Mus musculus: one gene and its partner. The protein of the gene in region 1 purifies or fractionates together with the protein of each later gene. This does not show direct contact. Links are inferred from orthologs where the notes say so. Each region holds a gene or a part of one and is shown in the gene's direction. Other genes may lie near its edges.

The links. Proteins that work in one complex are often made in the same cells at the same time.
Region 2: the proteins of Ptpn7 (region 1) and Mapk14 purify together in Homo sapiens (affinity purification with mass spectrometry; 3 studies listed by BioGRID and IntAct, with this or other methods). This does not show direct contact. The link is inferred for Mus musculus from reciprocal best matches to the Homo sapiens genes PTPN7 and MAPK14.

What each region holds. Positions count from the first base shown.
Region 1 is NC_000067.6:135,137,464-135,144,603, forward strand, and holds part of Ptpn7 (tyrosine-protein phosphatase non-receptor type 7), read left to right. Parts: intron 1-304; coding exon 305-415; intron 416-1,660; coding exon 1,661-1,815; intron 1,816-4,479; coding exon 4,480-4,593; intron 4,594-5,697; coding exon 5,698-5,791; 3' UTR 5,792-7,140. UniProt on the Homo sapiens protein: Protein phosphatase that acts preferentially on tyrosine-phosphorylated MAPK1. Plays a role in the regulation of T and B-lymphocyte development and signal transduction.
Region 2 is NC_000083.6:28,741,522-28,746,123, forward strand, and holds part of Mapk14 (mitogen-activated protein kinase 14), read left to right. Parts: intron 1-266; coding exon 267-345; intron 346-3,461; coding exon 3,462-3,635; intron 3,636-4,602. UniProt on the Homo sapiens protein: Serine/threonine kinase which acts as an essential component of the MAP kinase signal transduction pathway.

The sequences.
Region 1 (7,140 bases):
AGGAGGCAGGGTCATCTGGAAAGGGTCTGCACCCTACCCGGTCACACCACCCATGCACACCAGACCAGAGGCCTCAGTGGGGGCTGAGAGTCCTAAGAGGCCCTCTGCCATATCTCTCAGGAATACACCCCAGGGAAGCTGTGGGTGGGGTGACTATACACTTGAAGCTTGAGAGAGCTAGACTCTGGTCACTGGCCTGGGTCTTGAGGTAAGATATGAGGAGAGAAAACTAGGCCTCTCTGCTGCTTCAGCCCCGTGCCATGATGGGCCCTCCCACTCTGACTCCCAGATCCTTCCCTTCTAGAAATGTGTACACTACTGGCCCACAGAAGAGGAAGCCTATGGGCCCTTCCAGATCCGCATCCAGGACATGAAAGAGCACCCAGAATACACTGTGAGGCAACTCACCATCCAGGTACCTCCCCCTGGGACAGACCAATGGGAGGTTTGGGCCACCCTAGTATCTCTGAAACTCAGGCTCCACCTTCACTAAATTTACTAAATTCGCCAAGTTTACTAACTTAAACCTTGATCTCACATGATGTTCCTTTTTTTGTTTGTTTGTTTGTTTTTGGTTTGTTTTTGGTTTTTTGTTTGTTTGTTTGGTTGGTTGGTTTTTCGAGACAGGGTTTCTCTGTGTAGCCCTGGCTGTCCTGGAACTCACTCTGTAGACCAGGCTGGCCTCGAACTCAGAAATCCGCCTGCCTCTGCCTCCCGAGTGCTGGGATTAAAGGCGTGCGTCACCATGCCCGGAGGTGGTTCACACTTTTAATCCCAGCACTTGAGAGGTAGAGACAGGTGGATCCCTGAGCTTGGGGCTAGCCTGGTCTACAGTCAGTTCCGGCACAGCCAGGGCTACACAGAGAAACCTTGTCTCGAAAAACTAAGAGAGAGAAAGAGAGAGAGAGAGGTGGGTACACCCCTCAGGGGTACCTCTAATTAAATAGGGATGCACCAACTAACAAAACAGAGGCCACCAGGAAGCAACCTCTCCCCGTGCTCGAAATCTGGGCCCCAGGAGACTAGAGAGCCCCAGGGGAATGCTGGGAGATTCAGGAGAAGTCAGATGAGATATGCAGATGGACTTTAAAAAATGCTTTCTAGGGGACAGAGAAAGGGCTCAGTGGGTAAAGGCACTTGCTGCCAAGCCTGCTGTCCTAAGTTCAATTCCAGAACTCACATGACGGGAGAAGAGAACTGACTGGAACAACATAGCAAGATTCCTGTCGAGAGAGAAGGGAAGGAGGGAGTGAGGGAGGACAGAAGGAAGAAAGGAAGGAAGGAAGGAAGGAAGGAAGGAAGGAAGGAAGGAAGGAAGGAAGGAAGGAAGGAAGGGCTTTCTGTTAAGGTACACATTCTTACACTTCCAAATGATTTCTGTATCAGTTCGTTGTTCCCCAAGCATCCTGGGAGGCAAACAAAAAAGATATCACTGTGCCCACTTCTAGGGAAGAAAATGAGATTATTGCACTTATCCACAGTCCCACAATAGATAGAGGCACAGCCAAGACTTGAGCCTGGGCTAAGCTGAATAGCAAAGTAGCCAGGAGACTCACCCCTGCATGCTGCATCCCACTGTGCATGATTGATCGATAGATCACAGCACCCACACCCACATCCCACGTCTTGAGCCTTATTCTCCTGGTTTCTCACACCCCAGCACCAACAGGAATGCCGTTCAGTGAAGCACATCCTCTTCTCAGCCTGGCCAGACCACCAGACTCCAGAATCAGCGGGGCCCCTGCTGCGCCTGGTGGCCGAGGTGGAGACTCCAGAGACAGCTGCCAACTCCGGGCCTATAGTGGTTCACTGCAGGTAGGGACTTCCCTGGTCCCAGCGCAGATCCAATGCTTGCCTTCTCTGCTCACTAAGTCTCTGGTGTGGAGGCATCCAACGCCACACCAGACAGACCCAACTCTTACCTAGACAGAGCTCTGGCTTGTGGGAAGTTTCTAGTGAGGTAGAAATGAGATAAACTCCGTCCCCACTGTTGAGGAGCCCGTTTAGGCACCAGATAACATTTTCGTTGGCTTAGGTCTTTTAGTGTTGGGATTGGTTTTGTTTTTTGCTGGGTTTGTTGTGTTGTTTGGTTTTTTGTTTTATTTTTTGTTGTTGTTGTTGAGACAGGATCCCTCTTTGTGCCCAAGGTTAGCATCAAACTCATGGCAATCCTCCTGCCTCAGCTTCTCAACCTCTCAATCTCAGTTTGGGATTACAGGCATGAACTGTAACGGGCTTATTGGAAACCTATTATTGCTATCATCAGGCACAATGTTAAATACTAAGACGATAACGGTGAACAAAACAGTTTAGTTTCTTCCCGGGCAGGTTAATAGACTAGTCAGAAGAGTAGCAGATTAAACAATGAAGCAGACCACAATTCAGAGAGAGCTAGATGGAGTAGTATAGAGGCCACAGGGTAAGGTCACCTAATACCTGAGAGAGAATAAGCCTCTGAAAGGGGGAAAGGAAAACGTTCAGGCAGAGAACCTTATATGCTCAGGAAATAAACTTTAAAACAAAACAAAACAAAACAAAACAAAAAAGATACACTGTCAGGAGGGTCAGAGAGGAGTCCCAAGCTTGTGGGTGGGTGGAGCTTGTTGTGGGTGGAGCTTTGGGGGGCTTTGTGTGGGTGGGGCTTGGTGTGGGTGGAGCTTGTGGGTGGAGCTTGTTATGAGTGGTGCTTATATGTAGGGACACTGATGGAAAACAGTATGGAAGGCAGCTAAGGGCTTCATGAATCGGACTTGCATGATTGGCTAAGACACTTAGATTTGCCATTTTGTTTTGGGTTTTGTGATGCTGAATCCAACACCCCAAATCTACCATTTAAAAGCAATGCCTGGGGCCGGGCACAGCGGCATATTCCTGTATTCCCAGCACCTGGGAGGTAGAGACGGGAGTACCAGGAGCTGAAAGCCTATCTAAAGTACATAGGGAGTTCCAGGCCAGCCTGGGATATATGATGTTTTGTTGAGAGGGAAAGAGAGGAGGAGGAGGAGGACGAGGAGGAGGAGGGAGAAGCAAACAGTACACACAGGGCATGCTTGGACCCATGCAGAGGGCGCGCGCGCACACACTTCAGTGCTGGAAGTCACTAGTGGCTTCTACACACCCCAGTATACACCTCCTTCTACTGAAGGCACATGTAAGACTTATGTGGGGAGCTGAAAGCCAGAAAGGGCAAGAAGGGGAGGGGGTGTGGGAAGAGAGAAAGGTGATGGAGCTGAGAAGAGGATAATGGGATGGGGGCCCTGGAGCATCTGTGGAAGCTCACATGGAGCTGGGAGGAGGCTGTGGTCAGAGAAGGAACGCTCTGGGGGACAGCCATTGCACAGGCAGGTGCTGTAAACAGATGTGATCACCACCGTGTGCGCTGGACTAGGGTGTGGCAGAGCACACTTGAGGCCGAAGCAGTAAGACTGCTAATCAAAGGTCAGTCCTGGCTACATGACTAGACCCTATTATCAAAAAGAAAAGAAAAATCAGGGGTCACCACGGTGCCTCCATGGGTAAAGGCACCCGCAGTCAAGCCTGACATCTGAGTTCAATCTCTGGGCCCTACATGGTTTAAGGACAGAACTGACCCATGAGAGGTCTCTACTGGAGCTTCACATAGGTACAGTGATGTGTGTGCATGCATGCACACACACACACACACACGCACACACACACAGAGAGAAAGAGAGAGAGAGAGATTAAAATAAATAAAAATATAAAAGAAAAAGAAAGAAAAAACAACTGGAAAAAGTACAAATCTGGGCTTCAATCCCAGCAATTGGGAGCAGAGGCAAGCAGATGGCTGTGAATTTGAGGCCAGCCTGGTCTACCCAATAAGTCCAGGGCCAGCAAGGGCTACAGAGAGAGAATCTGTCTCAAATAAACAAACTAACAAAAAAAAAAAAAGACTTGATATGGTGGCACTCTTCTGTAACTCTGACTGTCCTGGACAACCAGGACTCAGGAGGCTGAAGCAGGAAGATTACAGTGAGTTTAGGATAGATAGTAAGTTCCAGGCTTCCCTGGACTTTAGAGTAAAACTCTATCGGGGGTGGGGTGGGGTGGGTAATCCCAGAACTTGAGAGGAAGAGGCAGGTGGATCTCTGAGTTCAAGGTCAGCTTGCTCTACATAGTGAGTTCCAGGACAGCCATAGTGAAATCCTATCTTTAAAAACATTAATTAATTAATTAATTAATTAATTAATTAATTAATTAATTAATGGTGAGCTGGACTAGGCATAGAGTGAGAGTAATAAGGGCTTACAGACTTCTCCTGCGTAAGCTGGTTTCTGCCTCCACCAGGGATCCCAGGGATGCTGGAATCGGAGATGTGCAAGTCCCACCCCACAAACAGAGCACTTTAATACCATTTCTTCTTTCATCACGTGAAGCCTTGCCTCAACCTTCCATGCTCACTTGTCTCCCCCATTCCCTGGTCTCCTGTGACCTCCCCATCCTCTCTCTGGTTCCATCCAGTGCAGGGATCGGCCGGACCGGCTGCTTCATCGCCACCCGCATCGGCTGCCAGCAGCTGAAGGCCCGAGGGGAGGTGGATATTCTGGGCATCGTGTGCCAACTTCGACTAGACAGGTGGGTCCATGGGAAACAGGTGTGGGCGGCCACAGTAATTGACAAGGACATTGGTGGCTCCGAGGTGCACATCACCTGCAGGTCCTCCTGGAAGAAAGCAAGGAACTTGTTTTATTCAAAAGAACTTTCTAGTTTGCCAATAACTAAGCCCACATGAAAGATGGTCTGAAATGTTAGCGTGGGGGCCTGGAATTAAATATGTCACCCTGAATTTTCCCTCAATCTCTCCTGGCCCCCAAATTCTCTACTCAGGAGAAAGCTAGGGAACAAGTTAAACAAAGGGTAGTATGATGCTGCATGTTTGTAAACCCAGCACTCAGAAAGCAGGGGCGAGGGTGGGGAATGTGAGGTCAGAGCCTTCGCTTGCTGCTTAGTTAGCTCAAGGCCAATGAGGCTACAGAGGGCAAGCGTCTTGACTTTTTTTTTTTTTTTTAAAGAAAAGATACAACTTGTTCTAGATACAAAGTAGCTATGGGTATAGTGGTATTCACTGGGCTTGAAGATGGAGAAGCCAGTTCAGACTCTGGGGTATATGCTACTAGCTGCTACGGTAATTCTGTAGCCACTCCCCCAATACACACACCCTTTTTTTTTTTTTTTTTTTTTTTTTTTTGAGTCAGAGTCTATGTATTCCTGGCTATCCTGGAGCTCATTGTGTAGACTAATCTGACCTCAAACTCACAGCCTGACTCTGCCTCCTGAGTGCTGAGATTTAAGGTGTACACCACCACTGCCCTGTGGCAATTGAGAGGGGTAAAGTCTACTCCCCCAACTGGAAGAAGAAATGGGTTCACTTCTTGAGTGTTTTAGAAATGAGACCTGTTCTACACATGTGGGGCTAACGGTTCGTTTTTAAGATTACAAATGAGAGAGTTGAGCATGGGTCTGATTTTGCTGAAGAGCTGGCTGGATAAGAGACAGGAGACCAAGAGTCACTTCCTCCCTTGGGGCTGTCCTGGCAGAGGACAGTAAAGGGGAGTAGGAAGGGCAAGGGTGCCTATGGGGAGGAGAGAGTCAGGGCTTCCCTAGCAGGACAGTGAGAGAGGATGCTAACCTTAGCACAGTGCAGGTGTTCTTGACTCTGACTCTTGACTCTGCTTACAGAGGAGGCATGATCCAGACGGCCGAGCAGTACCAGTTTCTGCACCACACTTTGGCCCTATATGCAGCCCAGCTGCCCCCGGAGCCCAACCCCTGACCCTCCACCAGCTCATGGGTCTCTCAGGCCTGAGACAGTGGGTCTGGGGAAGTGGGCTGTGAGCTCTGGCATGGCTTCTGCATCCGCACAGGAAAAGGATCCCTGGAATACTTTACAGTCTCAGGAAACTGCCCCAGCAAGCAACAGGAGCCAGGCCACGGGTCTTCACCTCCAACCACGACTCTGCCTTCTTCAGTGGCCCCCAGTGGAACATGCGGGAGCGTCCTGTGGCTCTGAACTTACAGATAGGAGCTGGTCCTTGCAATGGATTGAGAGAGCAGCTGGAGTGCTGGCTTATTTAGGTGCTTTCGGTGAGCTCCCTTCCTTGTCCATGACACAAAGAGTCAGTCAAACAGAATGTTCCTGAAAGCCATTCCAGATGTAGCCCTGCTGATGCGGCTGCAGAGATGGTGATTGCAAGATCCTCTTCCATTAAGGCCTTTCCCACACACAGGCCAGATGCAACAGCAGGGAAAATCCTGGTCTGACCTTGGTCAAATCTTCTCTATCCTACATAGACTGCTCCTCCCCATACACCCGTGAGTGCTGGAGGACCGGCTCAGAAGAGAATAAGGGCCTTGATTGGCCTGCCTCCATACATATCATAAAAGGAGATGCAGAGGTAACCAGCTCTAGCCGTTGGGATCACTGTATGAGCCCAGAAGTGATGATGTACCTGTCATCCTAGCACTCAGGAGTAGAAGCAGGTGGGTTGCTGCGAGTTTGAGGTCAGCTAGATCTACATTTTGAGTACCAGGCTAGCCAGGACAACATAGCAAGATTTTTTTTAAGGCAATCTTGAGCTCTCTGCTCTCTGGAGGAGATGAGGGTTGCCTCTGCTTCTATGGCTTCCTTCCTGTCATCTGCTCCCAACCACTCTCTGGGGGAAAACCCAGCACTCTCTGCTTTGCTTCTGTGACTTCAGAGCATCCTTTGGGTACCCATGAAGTATCAAAGAAAGAGGAGAGAAGAGACAAAGAGCTATGTCTGCTTCAAGAAAACCTACCTGCCGTACCTCCCCTGGCTTGTATTTCTTTGCAGAGTGCTTATCTGGTTCCAGAAGCAGGCTGGGTGGTCACCACTCCAAGCAGCATGGGGCTAAGACCTTCAGCCCTCATCATCATCACTTCACAGAATTTCCAGGGAACTCATGATCTATCTCAGGGATGAACTATGAATCCCAGAAAGCCAGACAAACCCTGAGTCTCCCTTGACCCGGATTGGGCTGCCTGTGGGGGGGAAGGCAGAATACTATTCCTACTGTCTGGTCCTCAGCTCCTGGATGTGCTAAGTGACACAAGTCCTCCATGAAAACCCCAAGGAGTTGGAGGAGTGACTGCCTCCTTGCT
Region 2 (4,602 bases), on another chromosome or scaffold:
TCTGGTTTTAAGCTTCTGACCCTTTGACCAGAAAGCTAGTAAAGAGTAGCTGATTGATTATCACTCTCATCCACAGGAAACAGAACTCTGGGGAGACCGCAAGAATAAAGTCAGTGGTCACAAATAGAGGGGGTCAGTGGCTAGAAGAAGAGTAAGCCTGAATTGAGCATCCCAGACAGTGGTCCATACGGGCCTCAGCCTAGCTCATTCCCTGAGATCACTAACACTACTGAACATAGTCATTCTGAAAGTCTGTGTTTTTACAGGCAAGAAACTACATTCAGTCTCTGGCCCAGATGCCGAAGATGAACTTCGCAAATGTATTTATTGGTGCCAATCCCCTGGGTGAGTTGATCGTACTTTGATTTTGTGGTATAAATTAGAAATTTGAAGTTTTGGTTTTGACTAAAAAGAGTACCTTTTTTTTTTAAGATTTATTTATTATTATACATAAGTTCACTGTAGCTGACTTCAAACACACCAAAAGAGGGCGTCAGATCTCACTACAGATGGTTGTGAGCCACCATGTGGTTGCTGGGATTTGAACTCCGGACCTTTGGAAGAGCAGCCCTTACCCGCTGAGCCATCTCACCAGCCCAAAAGAGTACTATCTTTAAGTAACTTTTGGGTCTTAATAAATATAGCTGTTACTGTCTGTCTGTATTGTCACATAAGGAAATATCATACAGTGATAGGCTTGTATGCTTATATGCTTGCAGAATATGGTGGAGAGGCTAAGGGAAGTGAGGAATGGGGAACAGGGAATTATGGGGACTTGGGGGAGAAGGAAGGAGGTGTGAACCTTACAGCTGCTAGTGGTAGGTGGAGCCCAGCTGAGGACAGAAAACAGGCACAGACACATGGTTAATGCCCAGCAGTGGGTCCTGATGTCCTCTACACTCACAGACTCGTCCCCCTTTCCTCCCCTCTCTGCCCTTCAGGGTGTAAGCAGCTGCCTTTGCAGCATTGATTTGGTGGCTGGCTCCTTGCCTTCCTGCCTCCATTACCTCCAGGATCACCTGGCAGAGGAAGTGACAGTGGTAGCTCAGATTGTGTCAGCACAGGACAGTGTGCTAAGGTTCTAATTCCTCTCTCTGGTGTAGTAGGCAGTAGTAGATACAGAGCCATCAGACCACCACCGTCTCCTGCCATGAGAAGGGAACAAGCAGGTGGTGGCTGCTGTCCCCTGCCTCTCCCATTCCTGCAGATGTTACTGTAAAGTCACTGCACTTAAGTCTTCGTGGGTCATGTCCCTTTCTGAGGGTTCTAGAAGCCATGTGCCAGAGTTACTTATCCTTTGAAGGGCTGATGTCTGTGGCAGTGATTTCAAAAGCTGGGAGCGGAAGCTTTCACGAACTCTGTCCATAGCCACAATACTGAGGAGTGGCTGTGGCTGTGGCAATGATTCCTGTAGCAGGAGAGGTGTGTGCATTCTTGGAGGAGGGGGTCCAGCCTATGCTACACCATTCAGGCCTGAGGTGTACATGGTACTGACAGGTTGGGTTAGGTTTGTGGCTTCCCTGTCAGGCTCACTGGGCTCTCTGTAACTTACCTTGAGCTATTGCATCAGATAAGGGTCTGGGGTCTCTGTGATCTCTAATCTTTCCATGTTGATTCCACCCCTGAATCCTCACCAGCAGATGTGCGGTACACAGTGTCTGAGTCTTCTCTGATGGAGCTGGTAGAGATCCCCATTTAGACACTGAGAAGAGCTGCCTTACAGGAGTGAATCCAGGCTGCTGGAGACTAAAAGGAGGCTCTGGCCCATCTGGTGCTCTTCACAGCCTGCTCACATCCAAACGTGCCTGGCAGCCCATTGCCAAGTGCTGGTCAGAAGGAACATGCTGTTACCGATTGCTAGCCTAGCCGTCCCCAACAGGCTGCACACCAGCGATATAAATATTAACAGCCCTGTTGTCGGTCACAGGCTTCGCATCACTGCTAGCCTCAAGACACAGCTGAGAACTTCACATTGCCCTTTGATCTTAGAGTGTCTATTTATGTCTGCCTCCATACTTGAAAAGTCTTGTTCTTACTTCTGACCTTGTTCCTCATCTAAGTGCTTTGATCCTGAGGACGTGGACCTCTTTTTACCCCAGGGTAGCAGGCACCCACTCATTCATGTTCAGTATAAAGTCAGCGGATTTGTAGAACGTGAGGATTTGTATCCAGGAAGTCCACCAGTGCTTCAGTGTTGAAGACAGAGTCATGTGGCCTGTTGTGCCACCATGCTCACTGTCTGCAGTGCTAGGTTTAGATCCAAGGCCTTATGCACACTTTGCAAACTTTACTGGCTATATCCCAGCCCTCCTCCAGCACTCTAAAACTGGAGAGCCAGCGTATGCATGTTTGCTGTTTCCTCTGTACCCTCAAAGCCTGCGTTTCTGTGGATAACTGGTGTTCAGGCTACAGGGTACATAATCACTCAGAGGAGCAGAGGTATAGCATCTCTTCAGGAAGTTCTCCTCGACACCCATGGAGCCTTCCACGCTGAAGAAATCATCTGGAGCTGTAGAGATGGCCAACGGGGCCCTTGGTCTGAGTCCCTGCACCAACAGGATGCCTCACAACTGTCTTTAATTACACTTACAGAGGATCCAGCGCCCTCTGCTGGCTTTTAGATTTTCAGCCAGCAGGCATGCACTGTAGTGGAGACATACTTAAAACTTAAATCTAGCTGGGCGTGGTGGCGCACGCCTTTAGTCCCAGCACTCAGGAGGCAGAGGCAGGCGGATTTCTGAGTTCGAGGCCAGCCTGGTCTACAGAGTGAGTTCCAAGACAGCCAGGGCTACACAGGGAAACACTGTCTCGAAAAACAAACAGAAAAAAAAACCTTAAATCTAAAAACTTGTGGAGTTTATTTCTGTTTTACTTTTGGGAGAGAAAAAACCTGGAAGCCATTATTGAAAGTAACTGATAATCACCAGGAGACAAACCATCTCCCCATATTATTCACTTGGGGAGAAACGGGGAAGAGCTCAAGATGCCAACCACCTTAGCTCAGCATAAATGGAGCTCCTGGCTGTGGTGCCCCAGGTCACAGCATCACCTGTGGCATGGTCTCACCCAGTATGCCTAATTTCACTCTTACCAACAATTGAGGTGGTAAATGTAAAGACTAGAGAGAAATGGGAGAGAGTGCACACAGCATAAGGAGAGGGGAAGGAAGCCTCCATGGTGGTGTGCCACACCTGCAGTGTCCACAAATGAAAACCAAGGTGGATGGAGAAGGAGAGCTGGGGGGTAGGAGGGGGTGTTTGTTTATTATTCTGGGTTTCAAACCCAGAACCTCAGTAATGTTTTTAAAATGTGCCATAGGCATTCAATGCGTACATGGAGGGAAGGGGTTACATGCAGAAGCAGACACCTTAAAGGATGCTTTGTGTGGATGTGAAAGGTGCTTGGAACTTGCACAGTGGTGGCACTGATGTCATGTGTTTTCCTCTTTTCTGGTGTGACAGCTGTCGACCTACTGGAGAAGATGCTCGTTTTGGACTCAGATAAGAGGATCACAGCAGCCCAAGCTCTTGCGCATGCCTACTTTGCTCAGTACCACGACCCTGATGATGAGCCTGTTGCTGACCCTTATGACCAGTCCTTTGAAAGCAGGGACCTTCTCATAGATGAGTGGAAGAGTGAGTCCAGGGCAGGCTAGCGTGGGCTTTGAGCTTGCTTTCATTTTATTCATGTTTTGTTTGTTTTCTGAGCCAGGGTTTTTCTCTGTGTAGCCACTCAGAGGAACTCACTTTGTAGATCAGGCTAGCCTTAAACTCAGAGATCCATCTGTCTGTGCCTTCCGAGTGCTGAGATTAAAAGCATGTGCTACCAAGTCCCGTTTATGTAATATTTTTTAACAGTGCTGGAGATTGGACCTAGGACTCACACATATTTCCAACATACCTATGATCCCAGCACTTGGGAATCAGATTAAAAGTTTAAGGTTAAAAAAAAAAACAGACTGAAGCCGGGCATTGGTGACGCACGCCTTTAATTCCAGCACTGGGGAGGCAGAGGCAGGTAGATTTATGAGTTCGAGACCAGCCTGGTCTACAGAGTGAGTTCCAGGATAGCCAGGGCTACATAGAGAAACCCTGTCTCAAAACAAACAAACAAACAAAAAAAAACCAGGCTGTAAAGTTATTCACAGCTGTGTAGGTAGTTTGAGGCTATCCTGGGCTACATGAGAACCTGTCTGAATAAAACCCTCGTGGATGGTTGCCAGCAGCTTTCTGAGCTCACTGCCAGGGTCTCTGATGCGTATGTTCCCTGATGGGCTGCAGACACAGAGTGCAGAGCCTTCAAACTGACAGAGCTTTGAGGTGCTTGGCGGTTTTACGTTTACAGCATCTTTTCAGGATAAAGAGGGTCTGGCGTATTTCAGCACAGAACTAGGACAGGAGTTTTTTATAGCTTACTTTTGGCCTAGTTAGGGACTGCCAGGAATGGAGCCACATCTCCACCCCCAGTCATACTCCTTCATAAAGCACAAGGTCAGTTCTGCAGTTAGGACTGCCTCGTTGTGTGCAGAGTGCAGTGCTGCTCCAGGGAGCACTCAGAAGGAGCACCGTGCATGATGGAGTGGGGAGACAGTTCTGTCTGTGT